Canis lupus familiaris: one gene and its partners. Each later gene encodes a partner of the first gene's protein in a complex. Links are inferred from orthologs where the notes say so. Each region holds a gene or a part of one and is shown in the gene's direction. Other genes may lie near its edges. The genes, in order: ING3, VPS72 and ANP32E.

The links.
Region 2: ING3 (region 1) and VPS72 share a complex: the UniProt entries of both Homo sapiens proteins name them as parts of the nuA4 histone acetyltransferase complex. The link is inferred for Canis lupus familiaris from reciprocal best matches to the Homo sapiens genes ING3 and VPS72.
Region 3: ING3 (region 1) and ANP32E share a complex: the UniProt entries of both Homo sapiens proteins name them as parts of the SWR1-like complex. The link is inferred for Canis lupus familiaris from reciprocal best matches to the Homo sapiens genes ING3 and ANP32E.

The regions. Positions count from the first base shown.
Region 1 is NC_049235.1:59,197,517-59,201,829, forward strand, and holds the start of ING3 (inhibitor of growth protein 3), read left to right. Parts: upstream 1-1,503; 5' UTR 1,504-1,565; coding exon 1,566-1,593; intron 1,594-1,840; coding exon 1,841-1,912; intron 1,913-4,313. UniProt on the Homo sapiens protein: Component of the NuA4 histone acetyltransferase (HAT) complex which is involved in transcriptional activation of select genes principally by acetylation of nucleosomal histones H4 and H2A.
Region 2 is NC_049238.1:60,907,413-60,911,725, reverse strand, and holds the start of VPS72 (vacuolar protein sorting-associated protein 72 homolog), read left to right. Parts: upstream 1-1,480; 5' UTR 1,481-1,553; coding exon 1,554-1,670; intron 1,671-4,313. UniProt on the Homo sapiens protein: Deposition-and-exchange histone chaperone specific for H2AZ1, specifically chaperones H2AZ1 and deposits it into nucleosomes.
Region 3 is NC_049238.1:60,128,140-60,131,759, reverse strand, and holds part of ANP32E (acidic leucine-rich nuclear phosphoprotein 32 family member E), read left to right. Parts: intron 1-146; coding exon 147-296; intron 297-1,059; coding exon 1,060-1,182; intron 1,183-1,914; coding exon 1,915-2,080; intron 2,081-3,614; coding exon 3,615-3,620. UniProt on the Homo sapiens protein: Histone chaperone that specifically mediates the genome-wide removal of histone H2A.Z/H2AZ1 from the nucleosome: removes H2A.Z/H2AZ1 from its normal sites of deposition, especially from enhancer and insulator regions.

The DNA.
Region 1 (4,313 bases):
ACTAGTGCTGAGAGTCAGCACTCCTTTCAAATCCTAAGCATGGTTTGAACTTTTTTTTTTTTTGAATGGTAAGAAGGAAGGAAACAAAGAAATGACTATGGACCTAGATTCACCACTGAGAAACCACAGAAATATCCAAGAGATCTTAAAGGCAGCCGGAAGGAAGGAAGGAAGGAAGGAACGAAGAAGGGAGTGTAGGAGGGAGGAAACCCGAAAATCCTAGATTTTAGATAAAAGTACAGAAAGTAAACTAGGTAATCATTAGAATTGAGGTGGGTTTCCCTTGACATTCACCAACACGACAGGTGAGCATCCTGACCATGAGCGGTGGAAAAAGTCTTGGGTAGAAGAGGGCGGAAGGGAGAAAACTCAAAAATGCATCAAATGTCTCGACTCCAATTTGAAAAAAAAAAAAAAAAAAAGAAAAAAAAAGTGAAAATAGAACACTGAATGGCGAACTGAAGACACATTTCCCAGGAAAACGAACAGAGAGCTAAGGCAGGTGGGAGAGAAAGATGCTCTCGACCTGTGCTGCGTGCAGATGTTCTTAAGAAAAAGAAAACTGAGCCGTGAAGGACCGAATCCATCACGGGGCGGGGAAGGGGTCCCGGGGTAGAAGATGACCCCTCCCGCGGGTGTAGACAGCTGGGGGCGGGCTGCTTACTCAACACCGCCTGAAGTCATTCTTAGAACAGCTCATTCGACAGCAGCAAGTCTCCATCCGTTATTTCTGCTTGTTCTCTAGTTCTGCTTTTTTTTTTTTTTTTTTTTTTTTTTTTGGTGGGTGCACTTCGTGCGTTCAGCTCGATGACATCACGGTGACGACGAGCCGGACCGCGGAATAAAAGCAGGTAAAGAGCGCGTGGAGGGCGGCCACCCGTCCAGGTGCAGGAAAGCCAAGCAGGCGCCTCGTGGGTATTTTGAGCAGTCGGAGACTAAGGATGCGTTCCAGCCAGGAGTTCTGTCTTACACAATGCGGATCGCCCGAACTCCGCTGGCCGTTCCGGCGCTGGAACACCTTCCACCTGCCCCGCCCGCCTGGAAACCCGCGACTCCCAGCCGCCGGGGCCACCGAGGCACGCCGGCCGGGAACAGGTGGAAAGTTGCTCCTACTTGGGTTCCGCGGGCGCCTACAACTCCCGTCATGCCCCGCGCCGGCATCAACAAATAAACAGAGGCACCGCATTTCGGATTCCGCGGCGCACGGGGCGCAAGGCCGCCTGGTCTTCGTAGTTGCCACGCCGGTAACCGCCGGGCGCGCCGATCCTCGCCGTGGGGGGGAACCGGACTACACTTCCCACAAAGCCGCGCGGGCGGACTCCGGCCGGCTGACGTCATCGCCCCAGCCGGCCAATGACGGCTCCGGGCGGCAGTGAGGCAAGCGCCGTCAGGCGCCAAAGTGGTTTTTTTTTTTCTTTCTTTTTTTTTTTTTTTTTTTTTTTCCGCCGAAGCCGAGCGGGTGCTGCTAGCGGAGGCGCCATATTGGAAGGGACAAAACTCCGGCGACAGCGAGTGACACAAATAAACCCCTGGACCCCCTCGTTGCCCCAGCTCTAAGGGCCGCGATGTTGTACCTAGAGGACTATCTGGAAAGTGAGTGGGCGGCGCTGGCGGGGGCCGCCTGGGGGACCCGCGGGCGGGCGGGCGCGCGAGCGGCCGGGCGGGCGGGATGGCGGGAGGGAGGGGGAGGCGGGGGATGTTTCTTTCTCACGGTAACTGGCAGCCGGGCTGTGGGCTGCCGGCTCCTTCGCCCCCCCCACGCACGCACGCACGCACGCAGTGACGTCAGCGCGCCCTTCGCCGTTGGCCCCGCCCCGCTGACGGCCTCTCCCTTTGACAGTGATTGAGCAGCTGCCCATGGACCTGCGGGACCGCTTCACGGAGATGCGCGAGATGGACCTGCAGGTGCAGAGTAAGTCGGCGGTTCGCCCGCCCGGCCGCGCGCGGTCGGGGCCAGACCTTCCACCGACGTCGTCGCCTCTGCTCTCTGACTCTCCTCCGGCTCACGGGCTAGTGCATAAGGAGTCGTTTAAAAAAAAAAAAAAAAAAAAAACAAACGCCAAAAAAACCCCCCCAAAACCATAAAACCACACACACACATACACAAGGCAGTGCCGCATCTTGCCTCTTGCTGTCCACGCCGCTTCCCCCTTTGCTTTTACCCGAGGAGGAGGCGCTGGGGCCCGCGTGTGTGTTTCTTTCCCGAATTCAAGACTGGGATAAAAGTTTCTGTGCCTCGGGGAGGACGTAGACACATGCTTTTAACGCACGTCGGTGTAGGTGTGGAGAAGATGGTGGTTTCTGGCCCGAGCCCTTGCGTCCGGAACGTAGATTTCGGCATTTAGACTTCTGCTGAAGTTGGTTCTGCTCAGAATTTTCTGCAGAGCGGAAAACCCAGCAGCCTGGGGGTTGGTGTGGCTCTTTAGTGACCCCGCTGAACTTGGAATGTCGAGTCTTGCAAAGCCGCACCTTGCAGGATGCATTCCCACCCGCCAGCAGGATGATGCTATTCCCCCCCCACCCCCCCCATGAAAACGAGTGAGGAAAATAGACCTTCCTGTAAAGCTGCTTATCTGTTGCAATAAAAGTGATGACTTCTCATCGATCAGTGGTAGCTTGGTAGTCTGGTTCCTTCCCCCTACCCACCCACCCCCCCAAAAAAAATTAACCGTTGTTCTTTCATAGAGCAGTATTTGGTTTATCCGATTGTTTTGTTTTGTTTTGTTTTTGTGAAGGATTTGACTCAAAGCAAGGAAAGAGTCAGTGCCTTGGAAACGAGGAGGTCAACACTTGGAGCAAAATCACAGTTAAAACGAGTACGAATTTACGCCTGTCGTGCTCTGAAAGAACCTCACAGGCCTTCTCCCCCTTTTATGAAATGAATGTAATACAGCCGTTCCGGTTCTCTTGCAGGGATACCATACTGTGAACTACGAGTGCGGAATGAATTACACGTTACACGATTATTTTATTTTATTTTTTTTTTACGTTACATGATTAAAATGTACAATGGGGTGTGCGCTTAAGCCCGGATGTCACCCTCTCTGTAGATGTAGGCTTGGCTGCCAGCAGCGCATCTCGTCTAAATTGATCTAATGTTTTTCTAATACTGTGGATGACATGAGATAATGCAAATAGCCCGTTGACCTAGGTCCTGAAGACCGTCCAACAGATGGTCTTGGAGGCTGTTGGAGCCTGAAGATGGCTCCAACAGAGCAGGGGCTGCCATGGTTACTGACCTGCACTGAGTAGTTTTTATCCAGAAATCAATTAAAGTTGCATTTGTTACTTTAAACAAAACAAAACAAAACAAAAAAACTTGTGCAGTTGATATTAATGGCTGGCCTTCATGCGGTCTGTCCTCAAGAAAATACGTGCCTTGATCCCATTTATTCTAGCTGTGGTTAGGCTATCTACGTAAAATGTTTCTCATGCCACTAGGTTTTTTTTTTTTTGTCCTCGAAAAGTAGCGGTGGAGGAGGATCTGGGTTTGGGGGTATGACTGGGGGGAAAAGGGTATCATGGAAAGAAATCAGAGACCCAGCATCCCTGAGGATCCTGCAGCTCCTGAGGGCCTGTCCTTTCCCCCGTGCTTCCCCACCCCACACTCGCACCCCACGCTTTCATACCCACGGGTGATGAATATAGGTTCCTGAGCCTCTGGTGCGTTCCATGTGGCCATGCGGCATACAAGGTGATGGGCTACGGAAGCCTTCTTTATGTTCAGTGGGTCATAGTGTAGGAGTCTGAACTGTGTGTTTCTTTAGCTTGCCCACAAAATTCATTTTGACTGTCATGTAGTTGAAATGCTAAAGTAGCGTTTTCTATGGGACTGAGCACAGATCTTGATGTCAGATAGATCCGAGTTCGTATTAGAGTTTTGCTGACTTACTCTTTGACCTTGACCGCATTACCACTTCTGAGGGGTTTTCCTTGTCTATAGAATGGAGATCATCTGAGGATTTAAAATAACACAGTTAAACTAGAATTTATAGTATCTGATACAAAGCAGAAGTTCACGAAAAGGTGACTTATTTTTGCTTCGTTATCATTACAAATTTTAAATTCTCTTGTGATTTGTAATTGGATTATACAAATGAGAGGTTTTATTTTTTTATGTTTTTTAAAGATTTTCTTTAAAATCTTTGAGAGAGAGCACACGTGGGTGCAGGCACACGAGCAGGGGAGGGGCAGAGGGAGAGAGAGAAGCAGCCTCCCCCGCTGAGCAGGGAGCCGACTGGGGTTGGGGGCACCCAGTCCCAGGACCCTGAGGTCATGACCTGAGCCAAAGGCAGGTGCTTAACCAGCTGAGC
Region 2 (4,313 bases), on another chromosome or scaffold:
TGGTTTGACAATCATATTTTCAGGATAAAAGATGGAAAAGAAGTCGACACAGGGTCTTAACAATTCCACAGACTATTTGAGATTGGAACTATTCTGGAGAATTGAGGAGGCATGATCTCCATGATTATGGAAACTGCTAGGAAGCGAGGTGGGCGAGTGGGAAGACATCACTGTCCAATATAACCAGGATTCTGCCAGGTATATAAGATAGGAAAAGAATCCTAAGGAGAAGGAAAAGCACACAGGCACGACAGAGGATTGGGAAGTGATGCTAGAATGGGATGATGAGGCAAGAGGTGAAACTAGAAAGGCAGGGAGAGGCCAAATTATGCAGGATCTTTAATGTCAATGTTAATAGTAATTATCACCTACTAACCATCTATGTGCTTACTAAATCCTGCTGAAGAAGTTTAAAAGGATTAGATCTCCTAATCTTTTAATCTTTTCAACAACTGTAAAAGGTAGATGTTATTACTCCCACCTCTTTTTTTTTTTTTTTTTAAGTAGACTCCATGTCCAAGGAACTCACGACCCTGGTATCAAGAGTCACATGCTATACCCACTGAGCAGCCGGGCACCCCTCGTCCCACTCTACAGGTGAGAAAACTGAGATTCCACCAACTGTCCAAAGTCACACAGCTAGAAGACCCTAAACTCAAAACTCAGGTCTGGTTGGTTATAAATCTAATATTAACCACACTACTGTTCTGTCCCCAAGAATCCTGTACTTTAACCTGTAGATGCCAGGGAGCCATTAAACATCTTTTTTTTTAATTTTTATTTATTAATGATAGAGAGAGAGAGAGAGAGGCAGAGACACAGGCAGAGGGAGAAGCAGGCTCCATGCAACGGGAGCCCGATGTGGGATTCGATCCCAGGTCTCCAAGATCGCACCCTGGGCCAAAGGCAGGCGCTAACCTGCTGCGCCACCCAGGGATCCCCATTAAAGATCTTTGAGCAGAAGACTGACAAAGTCTGTTTTTTAAGAAAGGTTCATCACTAAAAGCAGAGTGGAAAACGGACTGGAGCAGAGGGAGACTGACCTCTTCTAAGTGAACATTTGTTGACTCTCAAATTCTGGACTTAGGGTAGTGGGGCTGCTGGCGTCACCCGGTAATCATTCTGCAGTCCAGATCAGCGCGAGCTAGGGGAGGGAGCTTGGGGGTCGTCTCCACGCCGCTCCCCCCCCCCCCCCGTGGGCGGGGCTGCAGGGTAAAGAAGCGGTTTAGCGCCGCCTGCAGCCCAGGGCGTGATCCTGGAGACCCTGAATCGAGTCCCACATCGGGCTCTCTCTGTATGATGCCTGCTTCTCCTCTGCCTGTGTCTCTGCCTCTCTCTCTCTCGGTCTCTATGAATAAATAAATAAAATCTTAAAAAACAAAAGAAGAAGAAGAAGGCTTGACAGACGGGCCTAGAAGCGTCTCGACGCTCTCCTACTTCTGCCTGTGGACGAAGGGCTTCCGCCGCCGCCCGCCGCCGCAGGTAGTTGTGTCGAGCGCCGATACCGCGCTGGGTGAGGGGCCGCTGGTGGCGGCGCAGTCTCGGTAGGCAGTATGAGTTTGGCCGGTGGCCGGGCCCCCCGGAAGACCGCGGGGAACCGGCTTTCTGGGCTCCTGGAAGCCGAGGAGGAAGATGAGTTCTACCAGACGACTTACGGGGGTTTCACAGAGGCAAGAGTCGGGCCCAGGAAGAGGGAGGGGAGGAAGCTACTAGGAGTCCTGAACGGAGAAACGTCGGACAAAGAAGGGGGCGGGGAATGGATAGAATCAGCCCTGGGAGTGATATTCGAGAGCGGGTGGGAGAGTCCTGGATGGGGTTGGAGGGCTCAGGGATGAGGGGCTCTCCGAGGCACCCCAGACCATGGAAGAAACCAAGCGTATACTTCTCGGGTTGCGTGTTTCACTTCTGACGTCTAACGTACTCGAGCTCCTCGTAGTCACGCAGTATGGACTCTGGCCTACTGCTTGGTTATCCACCTGAAGGTAGAAAAGGATCTCTTCACAAAATACAGGAGCTCAGCCTACTTTTTTCACCTTTCAAATCTCAACGTCAATGTCTCCTTAGTTAATCCTTCCCTAACTGCTCTAAAAAGTGGTCCATTTATTTCCTTCATATAATATATTTCGAATTGCAATTAGATTTGGTTTGCCTACTTGTTTATACTTTTCTATTAGATTGTAAGCTCTGTCAGGTTAGAGATGGTCTGTTTTGTCCAGCAGTATACGTCCAGTGCCTGGTCCATTCTCTGGATTGGACCGGCACTGGTGCTGATTGAATCTGTCCATTCTTAAAATATCTGTTGAAGGGATCCCTGGGTGGCGCAGCGGTTTGGCGCCTGCCTTTGGCCCAGGGCGCGATCCTGGAGACCCGGGATCGAATCCCACATCGGGCTCCCGGTGCATGGAGCCTGCTTCTCCCTCTGCCTGTGTCTCTGCCCCTCTCTCTCTGTGACTATCATAAATAAATAAAAAATTTAAAAAAATATCTGTTGAAGAGCTAGGGCAAGCCAACCACTGTGGTAAGTTCTAGGGAAGCGTAAAGTATTGAAAACACCACTTTGTTACTCGTATTCCAGACCCCAGTGGGGGGAACCAGCTGGATTAACAGCTGAAATACTTTGTGATAAGGAGGGGAAAAAAATGGTAAGCTAGGGTGCTGTGGTAATATACGGGAGCCAGAGTTATTGGTTAGGATTGGCCTCCCTGGAGGACATGATGTTTAAGCTTACTACAGTATGAAAAGTAGGCCTTGACTCAGTGAACAGCAGTAGGGCTGGGAGCAGGATAAGGAGAAACGGTGTGTGTGTGGAGGGGTGGGGGGGATGCAGAATGTGTAAAGGTACTGAGTCTGTGTGGTACATGCAGGCCTACTCTCCTTTCTCCAAACCTTGAAGGAGAATAAAATTGATAAGGTTGGAGGGAGTGGACATAGGCCAAATCATGTTGGGCCTTATGAACCATGTTGAGGGGTTTTGCTCTTTTTCTAGACGACTGAGAAGATTCATCAAAGTACCATGATCAGATTTGTATTTTAGAAAGCTCACTCTGTAATGAGGAGAATGGTTTGAAGGAGGCAGTGGGAGTAGAGAAACATGGGCAATAGTTTCAAGACAAATTAAGGACATTGAATCCATAGGACTTGAATCCACAGGACTTGATTGGGAGTCATTACTTACACAGTAGACCAACTATAGTTTAAAATAGAATGTTCTCATCCCTCCCCCAAAGGCCATTTTCCTATTCCTGTCATTTTACGAGTCGTTATTTAATATGTACCCTTCATGCTTCCAAAAAGGATTAAAGGAGGCTTACAATATAAACAAAAAGTAGGAACTGTAAAAATAGAGACAGATCAGAAGTAATTGTACCAGGAACCTCTGCTAAAATAGTAATAGCAATTTATATTAAATTTAGCGGGGCGCCTGGGTGGTTCAGTGGTTAAGCATCTGCCTTTGGCTCAGGGCGTGATCCCAAAGTCCCGGGATCGAGTCCCACATCAGGATCCTTGTATGGAGCCTGTTTCTCCCTCTGCCTGTGTCTCTGCCTCTCTCTCTCTCTCTCTCTCTCTCTCTCTCTCTCTGTCTCTCATGAATAAATAAATAAAATATTTTAATAAATAAATAAATAATAAATTTAGCTGTGAGCTTCCTGGCAGCCAAGCCCTGAATTTCTTTTTTCAGTAAGAAAGAGGCATATACATTCTTTAAGAGAGAAAAATTTATTCAGCATTAAGTCCTAGGAAGAAGTGCACTTCTACATAAAATTATAAAGTAATGGGTTCACTAGATGATGTAGAAACATTCACTTACCTAGTCATGCCTATTAATGACCCTTGATAAAAGCCAAAGGTATGGTAGTAAATCCCTAACTTAGTGAAAGCATCTTGATTGGACGGACACTAAGCTAATGTGCAGTTCAATGACTACTCTCTGGTGCGATGACTTAATACCTGGTTAGAGCTGAGGGGATTAATGTGTTCCCAGGCAGTCTTTCACAAGCATCAGTTGGGAGGAAATGATGGCCATCGGTGCAAGTTTGAACTCTGGCTAGCTTGGCATGTCAGCTGTCTGTGCTGTTTGCTTGCTTTGGCAGCATGTGTACCAGGATTAGCCTGTTGGTCTACATCCCTGACTGAAGAGAGAGCCACATGTTTGAGGTGCCACCCTGCCCAGTTTTTGACTCCCTCGCCCTTAAGTGTGTTTTTCCCTTTACTTTCCTATGTGGCTGCCATTCTAGTCCTAACCTGTAACCCCTCAATTCTAGGGTGTACTCCACGTTCTCTACTCCACTCAGCTAACAACTTCCAGAGCTTTC
Region 3 (3,620 bases), on another chromosome or scaffold:
TTGTATTTCAGTTTTTGGTTAGGGAGGAGTGAATGGAAGGGATCTGTGTAAGGGAATTAGTGGTTTTAATATTCACATTGCCAGTTGTCTTGACCCGTCTTTTGCTAAACAGACTGCAACATAATCATTCATTTTCTATCTTACAGGTGACAGAGTTAGTCCTTGATAATTGCCTGTGTGTCAATGGGGAAATTGAAGGCCTGAATGATACTTTTAAAAAACTAGAGTTTCTGAGTATGGCTAATGTGGAACTAAGTTCACTGGCCCGACTGCCCAGCTTAAATAAACTTCGAAAGGTAAGTTGGTATTAAGTGTGAAATCATCATAATTTTGATGCCGAGGGCTAACATGTCTAGGTTTTGGCCAAATGAAACAACCGATCTGCCTTCTAATTAGAAGTTTCTGAATTTCTAGAGATAAGAGAATGGGTTATGCAGGATTTTAGAATCAGCTCTAATACTGCTTTTAGAAATTTAAACATAATAGTGAAATTGCTTTATGACATGAATGTGGATTTATTTATTTTTTAAAATTATTTGTTTATTCATGAGAGACAGAGAGAGGCAGAGACACAGGCAGAGGGAGAAGCAGGCTCCCCGTGAGGAGCCTGATTTGGGACTGGATCCCAGGACCCCGGGATCACAACCTGAGCTGAAGGCAGATGCTCAACCCCTGAGCCACCCAGGTGCCCCATGAATTTGGATTTAATATCTACTAAATGTTTTTCTCTGAAACATAAAATCTACCTATAACCCAACTGGAACCAAATTTGGGGTAGAAGCTTATTATATAGGGGTTCCAATACATTATTTGGTGATTATAGGTAGGAATTTGGAAACTAATAATTTGTAACATTTCTTCTTCAAATTGATATATTTTAAAAAACTGGGGGCGCCTGGCTGGCTCAGTTGGAAGAATGTGTGACTCTTGATCTTGGCATTGGGTTTGAGCTCCATATAGAGTGTAGAGATTACTTAAATAAATAAAAAACTTAAAAAATAATCCGATCTGCCCTAAGCCTTCACCATTGTTTGTTTTTTCTCCATGTTGAATATATAGTTGGAACTTAGTGACAATATAATTTCTGGTGGTTTGGAAGTCCTGGCAGAGAAATGTCCAAATCTTACTTACCTCAATCTGAGTGGAAATAAAATCAAAGATCTCAGTACAGTAGAAGCTCTGGTGAGTGGAAAGTCTCTGGACTTGCTCTTTTTTGGTTGATTTTCTGAGATTTGCTAGTGTTTTTATCTTCACTGATTTATATTTCACTCTTTGAAACTTCTGAATTTCTTATACGTTTTTAAAAGGATCTGCCTTCTCTTCTTTTAGAGTAAACCATTCAGATAAATTTTTAAATCTCTGAGAAATTTATTTTATTAATAACCTCATGAGTTGAATATCTGGTTTTAAACTTCCCAGTATTTTCTTAAATTCTATTCTTTTTCCTTCTTTCTTGATTTAATTTAATTTAATTTAATTTAATTTTATTATTTGCTTCTTTGTTTCCTGGAATGAGATGAAGTGAAACTCAGAAAATTGTTGTTCTGATTTTAAAAAAGCTTGGCAGGAGGTTGAAATTGTTGACAATAAGCTTGACTGGGTTTAAAGCTAACCACATTATTATTGTTGCCTATTTATGCACATATATGGTCAACAAAATATATTGAGTGGCTACTACAGGAAGACTCTAAGCCAGGTGTTGGAAATACAGTGGTGAACAAAATAAACTTCCTATTCTTGTGGAGTTTACATGCAGGTCCTCATAAAGAGAATTGATACGATAACCCTTCTTTATAAAATTTGAAAAATCCAAAAATCATTCTTTTAATATATGTTTTCAGGTCCATGAAATAAAAAGAAATAACATAATATTTAAAATCTTGAAATGTAAGCTTTAACTTTTTACTTTTCCAGCAAAATCTTAAAAATTTGAAAAGTCTTGACTTGTTTAACTGTGAGATCACAAACCTGGAAGATTACAGAGAAAGTATCTTCGAACTGCTGCAGCAAATCACATACTTAGATGGATTTGATCAGGAGGATAACGAAGCACCAGATTCAGAAGAGGAGGATGATGAGGGTAATCATTCTTAATGCTTATAAATACAGGCTCCAGCCTAGCCAGGCAAGTTAGATTGGGCCTGGATATTTAGGTGATAAAAAAAAAAAAAAAAAAAAAAAAAAAAAGATGTAAAACAAGAAAAATTACAAAACCCACAGCCCTAATCCTGTATTTCTTATTTTAGATTGCTGATAGCTTTGGGGAATTTAATGATTATTATGCTATCAAGCTATGTGAAATTTTTTTTTTTAAGGATTTTATTTGAGAGAGAGAACAAGAGAGAGCACAAGCAGAGGAAGTGGCAGAGGGAGAGGGAGAAGCAGGCTCCCCATTGAGCAGGGAATCCCATGTGGGGCTCAATCCCAGGACCCCAGGATCATGATCAGAGCTGAAGGCAGATGCCCAACTGACTGAGCCACCTGGGCGCCCTCAAGCTCTGAAATTTTGTATCTGTATGAACTTGTTTAATGACCACCTAGTAAAAGTGGCAACTTTTAAAATAGTACTTTTTTTTTTTTAAAGGAATCATTTCTTGTAGTGTTATCCATAATAGTCAAGAAATAGAAACAACCCAAATGGCCTATCGACTGATGGAGAAACAAAATGTGATATATCCATACAGTGAAACATTATTGATTCAGTCATAAGAATGAATGAAGCACTGATACATGCTCTTGCATTGAAATCATTCTATGAAGTAAAAGAAGCCAGACACAAAAGGCCACATTTTGTATGACTCCATTTGTATGAAATGTCCAGAATAGGCAAATCCATAGAAACAGAAAGTAGGATAATGGTTGCCAGGGCTGGGTGAGAGGAGAATGGGGAGTGACTGTTAATGACTGGGTTTTTTTTGAGAGGGAGAGGGGAGGTGATGGAAACGTTCTAGAATTAGGTAGTGAATATATATGATTGGATAAGTGGGTGACTAACAGATCAGATGATGGAATGGCTGTTGTTAGTAATGGGACACTGATTACTCTTGGTTGAAAATCATTTTTACTATAAAAAGAAATCTGATGGACAAACAATATTAGAAAATGATAGAATGATAGAGAAGTGGGTTTTGAGATGTCCATAAGGTAAAACAAACTTTAGTGCATGTAATATTTTAATGAAAATCTGTACGTTGGAAATATTTCAGTATTTAGAAACCATAGTTCTCAAATAGTAAATATGGATGTTGTGAAAGGGAAATCTTTTTTTTTTTTTTTTAAGATTTATTTATTTATTTAGAGAGCGAGCGAGCGCACACAGGTGAACAAGTGGGGAGAGGGGCAAAGGGAGAGAGTCAAGCAAACCTCCTTACTTGAGGGCAGAGCCTGAGACCATGACCTGAACTGAAATCAAGAGTTGGACACTTAACCATCTGAGCCACCCAGGCACCCCCTGTAAAAGGAAAATCTTAAAAAAAGAAAATATCCCTGAGATAGTTTCCACCTTCCCATTGGCTTTAGAGTTTGAAGTGATTGGGGCAAGGGCAGATAGGCTTAAAGTACTAGCAAGAAACATTTGCTCAGCCACTCACTCATCTTTTAAAATATTTTTAAAGATGGAG